Linked DNA regions of Arabidopsis thaliana. The protein of the gene in region 1 interacts with the protein of each later gene in a biochemical or structural test. Each region holds a gene or a part of one and is shown on either strand. Other genes may lie near its edges.

Region 1 (6,755 bases):
TTAGTAATGTCAACATTAAGAAAATAAATAAGAGTATCACCAAATGCCAAAACCGAAAAAGAAAAGTATCCTCTAATTGTGGTCAATAAAGCCTTATTCTTTTACAGAAAAAAACAAAAATACAGGTTTTACCTTTAAAAATTTCATTTTTACTATAAATTACCCGAATATTAGCATATGTGTTGAGTCATGAGTGATATGGAAACATAAACTAACCTAAAGTTTATGAAATGTAAAATTTATAAATAGAAGCATATGGTTTTTACGATATATTGATGACTTTTGGCATATTCCGTTTTATGTATAGAAAGATTTTTGAATGCAACCAGCACCGTCCATGTTGTCTAACTGCTTCTCAAGACTTGGTCTCAAAGATACACAGCTGTTCTCTTCCATATCTTTTTCTGATTTATGGTTAACTCTTCCAAGATATTTTCTTCCTCAAGTGGGATATCTTTATTTTATCCATGGAGGAGAATAAAAGTCAGATAAACACATTGATAATATTACTAAAAGAACAAATTAAATAGCAAAAGGGAGGGAAATTGCTCAACTGGGAAATAAGAAGACTTTTTTTTTTTGTTTGGTGTAAGGAATACAAAGAAGACTTGGGAAAGCAGTGGGAAGATGGTTGGTTATTCATTTTTATAATATAGGAGATACTATTTCTGATGTCACTTTTGTTTATAAGTAAAATTATAAAATGCATACGATTCGAAGCCTACAACGTGTGACAAATGAAAATTGGTGCATATATTTTGTTTTGTTTTCAAGAAGATAATTACGAATGCCAATTTTGTAGAAGAAGATATTTTGAAGTTTTGATGTTCAGTCAAATGAAATTTATTTGGGCCTACACAACGGGTTGGAAAAGGGGTCTTGATCTGAAATCTTAATTTGAAAATGGGCCTTATTCTGGAAACTCAAATCCAAAAGGGCCGCGATGAAACCTACATAGTATATACATTACATATATAGATAATTGGATATATGGAAATGATTTCCTAAATTCCTAATAGTTCAGAACCGTTGATTTAGAAAAAATTAAGAACATGTACGGCCTTAAATAGGACGGTCTATTACAAATTTATACCGTATATGTGAATTTTCCCTTTTCTAAAATTATGTTAATGTTAAATTTTACTTTCTTTTTTTTTTCCGTTTTTTTCTCTTACGTCCTATATGAACATTGAACGGGTAGTGCCTGAATAAAAAACTTTAAAGAGCACATTCAAATTTGATAAGTCGTCATTCTATATTTTTCTCTGTAATTTCTCGTATAAAAAAATATGACTAGCGCAGATAATGAGATTTTGAGGTTGAGGCACGAAAGGTTGATGAAGATGTCGGAGAAATTGTTGTACATGATGGATTATGCTGACTCACAAGTGGAAAGGTTCAAGTCGATATTGACATCGCGTGACGATCCACTGGCTTCGTTTTGTGCGGTGGTCGTTTGTCTTGTCGTTTGCTTGGTTCCATTACAGATTTGGTTTTAAGTTTTGAATGCCCAGTTGGCCTATTTCCCAGTTTCTTCGCAGTGACATACCAAGTCGAATCTACAACTTCTTCAAAAGTTTGCCGCTGACCAAGGCAGAGCTAGACTTTCCAAGTGAAATCAACAACTTCTTCACAATGCCTCCGACCATCGAAGAGCACATGTCCTGACAGATTTTGCAACGACGGCTGTTGTGTTTGTGTTTTTTTGTCTAAAGATTTATTTTGACGTCTCATATTTATCTATTGGGCCTTTGTTTTTAAAAGCCCATTAATAATAATAACTTGCTACGAGTAGCGATTTGTTTTAAAACGTAACGATAAGAGTTAATTAATTAATGAATACGCTAATTCAATATGATCTAAACATTTATTTCAATTCCAAATCTCTTCTCTCTGACCGGGAAAAGAACACGAAATTCATTTCTGCTTATTGTTTATCTGCGCTCAATTCCGACGAAGATTCATTGTCTCTTTGATAGACAAGTGATCTGTGTTTTTGTGGGGTTTTTGAGCCTTTGAGGCTGCAGTAGGTGTTGAGATAGAGCTATGTGGAGTTCAATTGAGAATATGAAGGCGAACTTGCACAAGATCGTTCTCGATGTGCATGAAGACGACGAAGAAGAAGACGATCTCCACAAATATGGTTCCGCCAATGGCGTATCGAACTCTGATCGGAGGAATTCCAGTGGTTTTAGGTCCGTTTCGAGGTATTCGATCTCCAATGGAATTGAATCGCCTGCTCATCATGAGGTATTTGGTCTGAATTGGATAAATTTATTGCTAGATTTAAAGATTAAGCATCTGAATTTCACTGGAAATGTTACTCAAAATCTGTGATGTAGTTGGTCTAGTGTTAAGTTTGTTTTTATGATTCAATTTTGTGTCACATTTTAGATTGAGCGGTATAAGGCAGAGATTAAGAAGCTTCAGGAATCAGAATCAGATATCAAAGCCTTATCTGTAAATTATGCAGCTCTCTTAAGAGAGAAAGAGGTTAGTTTCTGACACACAATCTTCAAGCCATTAACTGTTTTTCTCTCTTTTTCTTACATCAAAGACCCTATGGGATTATTACAGGATCAGATTTCCAGATTGAATCAGGAGAATGGCTCTTTGAAACAAAATCTGACCTCAACTAGTGCCGCTCTTAAAGAGGCTAGAACCGACATTTCCAGGGGATCAAACAACTATGCTATCAAGGTAGACACTTCATATCTTTGTTTCATCTCTATGCGATTCTTTGCGCATACTGTGTGTGAAGGATCACGAGGATCATGCAACTACTTAAGAGTTGTAATGTGTGAAGCATGTTTTGGCATGGAACGCATTATTGATAGGATTGGTTATATGCTAAGTTTATTAGTGGGATTTACTAGGATAGAAAGCGTATTATGAGATCATATATTAGATCAAGAAAGTTTTGTCAACATCACTATTTTGATAAGTATGTCACATTTGTTTATGTGTTTATTTTGCTGAGAGATGCGTTCTTAAGTGAAGGTCTTAAACTATTCAATTAATTTGTTATTTATCTTCTCCAGGGAAACAATGATCAGTCACCCAATAGGCTACACAAATCTGTTTCGCATTTAAAAAGTCCAAACCATATGTCCAATGGAAAAGGGAAGGATACCGATTCGTTTATAAAGGAAAAGGTAACGCTAATGTTTATTTACCATTAGCTTAACATAAAAGCTTTGGGGTCTTGAAAATTGGTTGTCAGTAGGATACATACTTCTGAGATTCTGAATTTCTTTAGATACATCTTCTAATACATAAGTAATTGCTCTGCAATATTCTTGTTTGGTAAATACCAAATTATAAGCGATAAACTGGATGTCCTTTTAGGACCTTGCAGATATGCTAGAAGATAGAACCAAATCAATGGCAGCTGTTCAAGCTACGGAGCTTGCCAAAGAGCGTGAAAAATTAAGAGATTTTCAGCTATCTCTACAGGGTATATAATATCACTTGTAGCTTGGTGCTTCTTTTGTATCCATGTTAGCTAGTATTCTCACTTACCTTACTTCCATCAGAGGAGCGGAAAAGGAGTGAATCTTTCAAGGAAGAACTCGAGTCTATGAGGTTAGATAAAAACAAAGTAAGTCTTGGAGTTAGAAAAGACACATTTATTATTTTCTTAGGAATCACCATCTCTAAGTTACAATTTTCTTATTTTCTGTATTGAATCTGTTTGCAGACCTCCATGGAGATTAGCAAAATGCGTAGTGAATTGGATGCAAAATTACTTGAAATCAAACACCTGCAGATGAAGTTGACTGGTCAGGAAAGCCATGCTATTGGACCTGGCATGGAACATCTGAAAGAAGTTAACAAAGCTCTGGAGAAGGAAAACAACGAGCTTAAGGTTTATTGTGTTCCATACTGCTGAATGGTTGTGCAAGCAAAAATTGCCAACATTGTGTATGTCTACGTTGACTTTTGGAATCTGGAACCGAATCTGATATGCTTTTTCATCACTTCATAGTTGAAACGAAGTGAGCTAGAAGCTGCTTTAGAAGAAAGCAGGAAGCTAACCAATAGCAAAGTCTTCCCGGACGCCACAGAGTCTCTGACTAGGCATCCTAGTACTTTGGACAAGGTTCTTAAACTAGAAGGAACTTAATTATAAACGCATTTTGCATTGCTTTTCATTAAATGTGGAGCTACCTTTTTCCTTCCTTCTTATGCCGTTTCCATATTTTACTAGGAGAAGCCTGAAAGCTTTCCTGGAAAAGAAGAAATGGAGCAATCCCTGCAGAGGTTGGAAATGGATTTGAAGGAAACACAAAGAGAAAGAGATAAGGCACGGCAAGAATTAAAACGACTCAAACAGCACTTGCTAGAAAAGGTTAGCAGCTGTCGTAAAAGCTAATATTTTACTGAATCTATTAGTGTGGGACATGGTTACATTTGTTGTAGTATTATAGCTTTTGGATCATTATTTTGCAAATTATTTCGTTTTCTAGCTTCTAAGATTGTTATGAATTCAGCCGAGACAATATTTTCTTGATAATTTTCTGTGAAGATGATTGAAAAGTGTGTTCTTTGCCATAATTTCACAGGAAACAGAGGAGTCTGAGAAAATGGATGAAGATAGCCGACTGATTGAAGAACTCCGCCAGACTAATGAATATCAAAGGTCTCAGATATCACACTTGGAGAAAAGTCTTAAGCAGGCCATCTCGAATCAGGAGGATAACAGATTGAGCAATGACAACCAAATCCGAAAATTAAAGGACACAGTTGATGACCTAAATCAAAAACTTACAAATTGTTTGAGAACAATCGAGTCCAAGAATGTTGAACTTTTAAATCTTCAAACTGCTCTAGGCCAGTATTACGCTGAAATCGAAGCTAAGGTTGGAATTAGGAAATTCAAAAATCTTTCCTTTTCTATTCTTACTCTCAATTTATCAATGCGTTCGTATTCATTTTGTAGGAGCATTTTGAACGAGAGCTTGCGATGGCTAAAGACGAGTTGATGAAGCTTTCTGCTCGTTTGAAAGTAGGAATATAACTATCTTTTCCCTTTATAAACTACAACCTGCCATAACGATATCTGTCTGATGCTATTTTGCGGTTGCTGAAGGATTCTGATGAGCGGTTAGAGTCATCAAATAAAGAAAAGGAAGATGTCACATCCAAATTATTGCATGCGGAAAAAGTTGCAGCGGAATGGAAAAACAGAGTAACCAAGGTTGAAGAAGACAATGCAAAAGTACGACGTGTTCTTGAGCAGAGCATGACAAGGCTCAATAGAATGTCAATGGAGTCTGATTATCTTGTTGATAGGTACACCAATTAACACTTGGACATATATAGTTTCGATTCTCCTGTCTGAATTAGGTGTTCTGATGCAATGATGAACCAACATGTGTCTTTGCAGGCGAATCGTTATTAAATTGCTGGTTACATACTTCCAGAAGAATCATAACAAAGAGGTAATAGACATTGATATTATTCTGAAATCCAGTTTGTGACATACACATATGAGAAATGTCTCTGATATACTTCGGTTGTTTCATGCTTTCGCCTAGGTTTTGGACCTCATGGTTCGGATGCTAGGATTTTCAGAGGAAGATAAAGAGCGGATTGGAGCGGCAAAACAAGGAGGAGGTAAAGGAGTTGTTAGAGGCGTATTGGGCTTTCCGGGCCGCTTTGTCGGAGGAATTTTGGGTGGGAAATCTGCAGAGTTACATGCTAATGCAGCTTCTGATAACCAGGTAAAAGTCCTCCATAACATAATAAAGTACACTGATACACAGGCAAGTTTTGTTTTTTTTTGTCGGCTACACAGGCAAGTTTCACACTAAGAGAGATATTATTGTGTGTTTTTTTGGAATTTGTATTACAGTCTTTTGCGGATCTATGGGTCGATTTCTTACTCAAAGACGCGGAAGAGCGAGAGAGAAGAGAAGCAGAAGAAGCAGCAGCGAGTAAAGCCAAGCAAGATTCGGAGAGGACGAGACAAGAGGCGGCTTTGCATGATTCAGAGTTCTCTACTGTGCCTCTCAGATCATCTGAGAGTAATCAACGACTCTCGAGATAACTTCCTTAAAAGATGGTACATAGATAAACATTATACATACTTACATTTAAAATAGGAATTTGAACCTCTATTGAGTCTTTTGTTGTAATTATGATCTCACACCTTTGTTTGTTCGTCAATTTTTCTTTTGTTGATGTATGCTGCTGACTTTTTGATGGAAATTTTGATTGAAAGATTAAAATACAAAGTTACATCAGCTGGTACTGTGATTTTCTTTGTGAAAGGTTTTACCATTACATGAGCTAACGACTAATTGCATCTTTTACCAAAATTTGATTAACACAGCATTCACAGAAACCATTTTAAATCATTTCCCACGAAAAAGGTATTAGTCAAAATTAGAGAAGGGAAAACACAGAGTAACATTTTTTTTCTGAAGTAACAAATAAAAATGCCCCAAGACACAAAGCAAAACGTCAAGGGGAAAGATAATAAAGAGAGGGAGGTTGCTTCACTCTAAAGTTTTTAACCCAACTTTGCCTTAAGGGAAGCAACAGGAAGCTTAGAAAGAACCTTCTCATCAAACACCATGTAATGTTTCTTCAGCTCCTTCAACGTCTTCTCTGCCACTGGATCTACCTTGTCCTCATGTTTCTCATACAACATTGGTACTGTATGTAACACCACAAAACCTGTTTTTTTTTGTTTCCCACACACATGGAGATAATTTCAGACTCAAACAAACAAAAAGACGAAACTAAAA
Region 2 (7,621 bases), on another chromosome or scaffold:
TATTCTCTCTGCTCAGCTAAAAGTGAATTTGACCATTTGAAGAGGCTTTGGTCCATAACTTTCTGTCTTTTATGACATTGACAGGTCGAAATAGACGTGGAGAGTTTTGTGCAGTCTTTCAGACCTGATATAATGGAGGCGGTGTATGCTTGGGCAAAAGGGTCCAAATTCTATGAGGTCATGGAGATTGCTCGTGTTTTCGAAGGGAGCTTGATCAGAGCGATAAGGAGAATGGAGGAAGTTCTGCAACAGCTCATAGTAGCTGCAAAATCTATAGGAGAAACACAGCTTGAAGCTAAACTAGAAGAAGCTGTTTCCAAGATCAAAAGAGACATTGTATTCGCGGCGTCTCTCTACTTGTGATGTCGTGCTTATTTCATCCTGGCAACAAGATTATAACAAAAGCAACGAATTTTGTTTGTACCATCATTTATTCTTAAAGTCTTATAATGTGTACTAAGAACTATAAAGCAAGAGGAGATTTATCATAATTTTATTTTTGACCATGACCATTGTTCAAGGTAGAACAAGACGTGAAACTTAATTTCCATATTTCCCGTACAAAAGCTACACAACTCCTCAAAACACATTGCATCTAAGTGAATTCATAAGACTTGAAGACATAAAACTTCATTGCTATACACAGACATCTCAACTTTCATATTGTCTAACGATCTCTTGCTTCTGCTTTCATATTTCCTACGTGGCAAGTACATTTAAAACATAACACAGTGATATACTCATCTTGATCCCGCCATAGATGATGATCTGCCCTCTGTATTCCCATTTTCCTCTGCATCAGCTTTGAGCTGCATCCTTGCATTGACTGCGAGTTTGTTCTTCGGTGAAAGTTTCTTCACTTCCTCAGGTGTGTAGATGAATATCTTCCTCACCATTCCACAGAACTCACTGCAGCACAAAAGAGAAGACCAAAATGATCATCAACGGTAAAGCAAAAGGACACATTACAGCAGATGATGCTTTGCAATTTTAACCACTGCTTTATTTGTTGACACCAAACAAAATTTAGAGTATTAGACAGCAAATGCACTTACTTCCATGGATCATCACCAACCATCATCATGTCATCTTCATCATCGGTGTAAACGACTTGCCATTTTTTGGTAGATTCTAAGAGTTCACCCTTGATATCAAACATCTCTTCCAGCTTCTTGAACAGATCTTCATAACACTCTGACCTTGTCAAATCAATAGCTCTGCCTACTGCACTGCCTTGCATGTGCACCTAAATCAAATTGCCAAAAACATTGCGTTTTAGTCAAAAGCAAGCCGCAGACACGGTCCACCAATTTAAGACCAATATTGGAGTTGTGACAAAAAAAATTGATCTTCAAAGAAAGAGCGAGCGATACAAGAGGCTAATAGTCACACCTTTGTGCAGCTACGTATCTGTCTACTTTGTGATTCTTGAGGAGACCTCAAAGAGGATTTCTCAGGGTCACCACTCCCCGAAGGAATATCAGATTGGTTGATGTTTAATGGCTCAGATTGCTGGCCAGAGTCAAACTCGTTGGATGGGACAGGTTGATCTACAGCGACAGCACCAGACACAGAGGCAGCAGAGAAACATTCATCCACATTAACATTTTCAACTAGCTCAAACCCAAAAAGCCTACAGACATTTCCATTAGTTTGTTTCTTTTCAGTAGATTCATTGTTAAACGCTGAAGCAAAGGATTCAGCTGCACTATCTGCATTGGTGGGCCAAAAGGCTGATCCAATAGATACTCCAAATGATTTGTTCCCACCATGACCAAACGTAGCAGCTTTGGCAGGAGGAGAGAATAATGGCACTGAGGAAGGAGTGTCTGCCGGGGATTTCCACACACCATCTGGAGTAACTGAAGAGAGCATCAATAAAAAGAGCAAGAGCCGCCACAAAGAAGAACAGTTCAAAGAGAAAAGAACACAGAATACCAGGACCAGATGGACCAGTGGCTGGTGAAGGTAAACCAGGAGGTCTTGGTCGTTTGTTCCTTTGCGGAGGCTGAGGTTGTGAAGACGGAGTACTATTTGCAACTAGGGGCTCAAGTTCCCAAGGTGAAACTCTTTCAGGACGAAATACAGATGAGGGTTCGTCCCATTGAACCTGAAGCATGATCAGATTGCCAATAAGCATATTAAGATGCATCACTCTATTCATTCAACTAAGAAAATACAAATCCACAACTTGCTCCACTGCAAAGTATAACAGTAGAATATTCTAACCTTTAGCGATCTCCATTCAGAATCATGCCAGACCGAAGACTTATTTTCCTGAACACCAACTATTGTGCCACTGAACCTGCATAGTTAAAACGCACACAAAAAAAAAGACTAGAAGTTATATTCAGCTTTATCAGCAAAAAGAAAACAATATAGTTAGTTTTGATACCTTTTCTCGGGAGCTTCTTCCCCCTCGAATCTCATCTTGAAACGCATGCCTACAGACAGCTTCTGGGTCTTAGCTTCGAGATACCTATTGACGCTCACAATAAACTCTGACCTACTTGTCCTGATAATAGAAGATATGTCAGCCTGGATTTGCAGCAAAATGATTATCATCAAGCATATGCAGGCAACAGTAACTCAATGGAATAAGATGCATATTTATTAAAAAATGGCTGGTGTGTCCGTCCCAGACCGGCTAAATAAATCTAACATAGCAAAATTTTCAGTTTCTAAATGGAGCTGAAAGTCTGATGCAGCAACTGATGTGTTTTGGACCATTTGATGAGACCTTGGCTTGTAGAAGACAGAAAAGATTGTTCCTGTTGTAATGGCATGAGCTGCTGTTGCAAGGACCCCAATATGCATGCTATGACTTGAAATGACAGATGACGGGATATTAGTCTGTTGTCTCATGTGCCGCCTAACACCTACTCGGAGCTCTTCATTCTCACCCCTGAAAGATAATACTATGTCACATGTCCAGCCGTATGTGGCAAAAATAATATCCAGACGAATGAAATGAGGAGCTTGCCTTAAGAATATGAAAGCATCACCAGCCACTAGTTTCTTCGAGCTAACAAAAACACTCCATCCAGTTGTTAGCAAATGACGCCTTGGTTGGCCTGTAGTCACAACCTTATGATTAAAACAAACGTGAAACAATAATATTAATGCAAAATTATGTAAAGCTTTAAAGGTTCCCAGTAGCAGTAGCATTGGGGTAAAGGAACCACAGTTTAAAGACCATCTCATAATAAGATACCAAGTGTATTAACCTCGGAAAATGTGCCTAAAATGCCATTCACTATTGTGCAAATCAGTTGCAACCAATTCTTGCCACGGTGGTTGTTGGGACATATCCTAGAAAAGAGAAAGCAAACTGTTACACAAAATAGCAGTGGAGATGTTTCCAAAAAGCAACCAGAACACCGGAAGCAAGTCTGACCAAGGGTGGGAGACAATCATCTGCATGTCTCCGTAGCACCGAGAAGCCACCATGTGTGCTTGTGTCTGAAGCAGTTAGTGTCTTGCAAAATGAATGTACGGTGCACTTTTCAGGTTCTTGAACAGGGGCATCTGGGCTAGTGGGTTCGCTTTGCTGATAACCAAACACAATAGTTTCACCAAAATCAAGTACAGGAAAAAAAATTACCGAACCGTTTTTTGTGAAACACCAAACCATCAAAATTTACTTACATCCAGTTCTGGCAATAAGGTTATTTGCGCATATACTTCGTCAGTCTCGGGCTCTGCCTGAGCTTGCAAAGTGAAGCACAACAAGGTATAATATTCTTTAGCCAACCCATTTCATGAAGAAAAGGTAAGAAACTTTTATCATATATCATGGAATTTAGCCTACCCTGCGCTGGATGTTGATAACTTTACAGAGGATCTTAGATGGGAGGTTGAAGGAAGGCATCTGTTGCTCCAAACCTTGGTGCATTGATGCCTCGAGCTGCACAGGAAGTGACCAATTAAATGCATAAATGTGATAATCAGATAAGATGAAAGAAACAATAATCATGTGAAATCAAAACAGGTAGTGCATTTATCCGTTCTATACAACAATACATGTTTTGTGATTTTACTTTTAAACTAGAAAGCACCAACAAGGTATTTTGAAGCGACAGTTGACACAGTAATAACAGTCCAATTAACATAACCGGCTTTAGCAAATGATAATGTTAAATGATTCAACCCAATAACCAACCTGCTCCATGTGGCCTTCAGGGAAATAATAAACTCGTTCCCCTTCACGAGGTAGGGTTACAAGAGGTCCAGCACAGGCATGCCAGAGCTCCCTACATAAAGCATCACTTAAAACTCCTACAAAGAAACAGATATGGGTTATGTGACGCAACAATATATCTCAAAAACAAAGCAATGGTTGCAATCTCCAAGGCTTTAAAACCCTTATCCAGTTCTTAATCATCCATTTCAAGTTATGCAGAATCCCCAAACAAGCTTAGAAAGTGGATTCCCAGTAGAAAATAGCAAAGAATGGTATAAAAACAAGAAATATTCCACGAACCTCCAGGTTTACCAGATGAATGATTGGAAGCTGCCATTAGGAATCTACTTACTTTCGATAAATTTACCTGGGCAACAAAACAAAAGAAGAGAAAACTATAAGATTGAAATGTTATTCTGAAAGAGAAAAGAAGAAGATGGACCTATCCTCCTCTAATTTAGACAAACAAAACTCTGATAGATGTTATTATGTAGAAACATTTAAAACCCCATTCATAAATTTACTGACAAAAATGTGGGCCATTTATGTAACTGCTTTGTTCTACATTGTGTCTAAAGCACATCACAAGACTCAGATTCTCAAAATTTTATTACCCAATTTGAAGAGAAAATCCAATAATCACTCAAACAAAGAGGTAAAAAGAAAGAACAAATAAAGCAAAAGCAAGACAAGAACCTGCTCAATAACATACCAAAAATGAACAGATTTTAGTCCTTAATAACTTCACACAAAGCAACACCAAAACTGTTACTAAAACCATCTCTACAATGACAAGACTTCAAACTCAGAACCTAAAATTATCATACAGAATCAAATCTAAGAGAAGAACACAACAGCTACAGACAAAATTTCAGAACCACCAAAGAGAAACCTCATTTAGAAAGCTTGAAAAGGAACGATTTTTAGATCAGGAACGAGAAAAAGAGTTGAATTTTGGATATGAAACAAAGTAACGATTCCTGATCTAGATTATCCCCAAAATCAAAATCCTAGTAAAATCGACAAACCCAGCTCAAATCTGACTACAGATCCTCTAAAGTCTCCTCCTTTTCCAACATTTACTAAGCAGAACCAAGCAAAACAAGCAAAACCCAGAAATAAAAATCGAACCTTTAACTTAAAACCACTGGATCCAAAGCGAGCTAGGGTTCAAACAAAACCCAGAAAGGGGATAGAAGAGAAACTAAGAATTGCTGTCAAAAAATAATGTAAGAAGAGGAAAAAGAAAACAGTAGAAGATTGATTTGTAACAAAGATGTGAGAGAGAGAGAGATAAAGGTGTGTATGTAAAGGTGTATACACACACCGTCAGTGTTTGGTTGAAGCCGACACGAACCCTTTGGCTATGGCTTGCCTCTTTTTCTCCTCTCCTCTTTATATTTTTTTTTAATTGTGTCGTCGCTTTGGGTTTTTGTTTCCAACCACAAGCAAATGACTTGCTCTCTAGTCTCCTTAACTTTGAAAAAAGAGCTTTTCTTTGAGAAAAATTCACTAAACTAGCCATAATTAACGGATTTATTGGGTTTAGCTGTTAATTTAGTAGAGATTAGTGAACTTGTATGTTTTTAGACTTTGCATACATATTAAGAATTTTTTTACTACTACAAATATATTCGTGTTTAATAAATATTCATTAGTTGTTTTATTAATTCAACCCTAGTTAATAGGAGATAAAATTAAAAAAAAATCTACATTTATCTTTATGAGACAATTTTTGGTTTCTTTCTAAAACTTATATTATAAAGAAATGAGAGAGTAATTATTTTTTCTGTATTTCAACATTATGTGAATTGAAAGGTGCATCATGAATCATGATTTTTGTATTTTCAAATTAGATTATATATTTAACCAAATTCATATGAGTGACAAAATTAATATTGTCATATGAATCTGTAATGTTTTTATCTGGAGCTCGGATTTGACTATGGAGGAGACACTAGTGAAGAGATTTTGTAGCGATTTAGTGCTATCATGTGAATCTCATCCATTATTTCTGAGGGTATTTTTGTTGAAAACAATCAAGTGTAGCATCTTCTCGCTTGTTTTGCAAAATTCCAAAACCTATTACTTTTTCTTAATTCTTTTCAAAAATATGTCTATGTAGCATCCTAATTGTTTCTTAGAAAATACTCAAAATATGAATATAACATGTGACAATTCTGCTAGAAAAAGAAAAGAAAAACAAAAAAACTGAAACACTCTAGGCAAAAATATCAAGCATCAAAATTGATAACGAAGTTCATGTAGATAGAATCCAAAAATCCTTGAGCTAAGAAAGCGGCACAAAGCGAGACCACCCAATTCTTCCAAATATTCTCTAACAAATAAATGTATAAAATTTTTTGGTGGTTTAAAGTTAACTACTAATCTAATCGAATGGAGATGGAGAGCGAGTTAGCTTTAAATTGGGCATAATGATTTGCTACTAGCCTAGTTAGAAGAAATGACAGTCCACCTAAGATGAAATAATCTGTTATTCTAGAATTTCTGACAGAGGAGAACCCTTTGAAATAAGATATCTAAGAACTTTCGACGTTTAGTTCTGGAATCCTAAGTTTCTTTCTCTCTTCTTAAAAGAGATATGAAACAGGCTTTGAGATTTGAGATTTTGTTTTATTTTTGGCAAAAACATTAGTCATCGCTTCTTGGCCAATTATTTTTGAAAGTTAATTTTTGCCCTTAATATGATTCTCTTTTTTAAAAAGGATAGTCTTTTTGCTTAGAGGATGGCTCTGATCACTATGTATGTATATGAGGCTCATCGTCCTTTGATGTGAATGTATGAGAAGTTATTAGAGTTAGCATGTAGTTTATAAACACGCATTAATGGTACAGTTAACCAAGGCCACAACAAACTACTTCGGCACCAGCGTACTTTTGAAAAATGTGTCCATACTTGATAGGACAAAAGCGGCGGAATACCATGAACCGTTCAAGATTTGAAACCCATAACCCAAATTTGGTCGTAACGTGGTAACTTGATAAATATAAATTCATATCCTTTGATTCATATAATCATATTCATAATAAAGCAACTCGACCCGTATAAGCATACCTATTATTCTGTTTTACTTTAAATAACTCACTACGTGAAATATTTGACTAGGAATTTTCACATGAAAGTTGTAGGATTACTTAATTACATTAAAACTATATATTTTAGTGTGTTTAAACAGTAAATAGCACAATTGATTACATAGTCCCTAGTGACTACTTTCATATCTTTATATATTTTCTCTTTAAAAATGTGTCATTGATAAAAGTAATTTTGAGGTTCATCTTTGCATTGAGTGAAAATCTTCAAAATAATATATAGGTAAACATATAAATGATTCCTAACATATGATTGAATTATTGTTATTCGTTGGTATACCATTCTTAACAAATTGATTCTTTTTAAAATTTATGTACCATGAT

What was found. Proteins that work in one complex are often made in the same cells at the same time.
Region 2: the proteins of GDAP1 (region 1) and ARF1 form a complex in vitro, tested with the Arabidopsis thaliana proteins (one study listed by BioGRID).

The regions. Positions count from the first base shown.
Region 1 is NC_003074.8:22,778,934-22,785,688, reverse strand, and holds GDAP1 (GRIP-related ARF-binding domain-containing protein 1), read left to right. Parts: upstream 1-1,750; 5' UTR 1,751-2,046; coding exon 2,047-2,250; intron 2,251-2,394; coding exon 2,395-2,493; intron 2,494-2,577; coding exon 2,578-2,700; intron 2,701-3,041; coding exon 3,042-3,155; intron 3,156-3,348; coding exon 3,349-3,457; intron 3,458-3,536; coding exon 3,537-3,601; intron 3,602-3,700; coding exon 3,701-3,868; intron 3,869-3,988; coding exon 3,989-4,102; intron 4,103-4,210; coding exon 4,211-4,351; intron 4,352-4,565; coding exon 4,566-4,862; intron 4,863-4,942; coding exon 4,943-5,008; intron 5,009-5,092; coding exon 5,093-5,295; intron 5,296-5,389; coding exon 5,390-5,444; intron 5,445-5,497; exon of another isoform or gene 5,498-5,505; intron 5,506-5,540; coding exon 5,541-5,726; coding exon of another isoform or gene 5,727-5,816; intron 5,817-5,857; coding exon 5,858-6,052; 3' UTR 6,053-6,248; downstream 6,249-6,755. Other genes in the region: AT3G61571 (uncharacterized protein), read left to right, coding at 1,507-1,668; AT3G61560 (Reticulon family protein), read right to left, coding at 6,518-6,684. UniProt on the Arabidopsis thaliana protein: Golgi matrix protein playing a role in tethering of vesicles to Golgi membranes and in maintaining the overall structure of the Golgi apparatus.
Region 2 is NC_003070.9:21,977,313-21,984,933, reverse strand, and holds ARF1 (auxin response factor 1), read right to left. Parts: upstream 5,596-7,621; 5' UTR 5,511-5,595; exon of another isoform or gene 5,315-5,510; intron 4,551-5,314; 5' UTR 4,521-4,550; coding exon 4,484-4,520; intron 4,279-4,483; coding exon 4,163-4,278; intron 3,908-4,162; coding exon 3,812-3,907; intron 3,706-3,811; coding exon 3,649-3,705; intron 3,551-3,648; coding exon 3,398-3,550; intron 3,313-3,397; coding exon 3,228-3,312; intron 3,075-3,227; coding exon 2,984-3,074; intron 2,906-2,983; coding exon 2,741-2,905; intron 2,516-2,740; coding exon 2,396-2,515; intron 2,306-2,395; coding exon 2,230-2,305; intron 2,111-2,229; coding exon 1,939-2,110; intron 1,863-1,938; coding exon 1,393-1,862; intron 1,247-1,392; coding exon 1,056-1,246; intron 910-1,055; coding exon 741-909; 3' UTR 501-740; downstream 1-500. Other genes in the region: MTR4 (RNA helicase, ATP-dependent, SK12/DOB1 protein), read left to right, coding at 85-363. UniProt on the Arabidopsis thaliana protein: Auxin response factors (ARFs) are transcriptional factors that bind specifically to the DNA sequence 5'-TGTCTC-3' found in the auxin-responsive promoter elements (AuxREs). Seems to act as transcriptional repressor.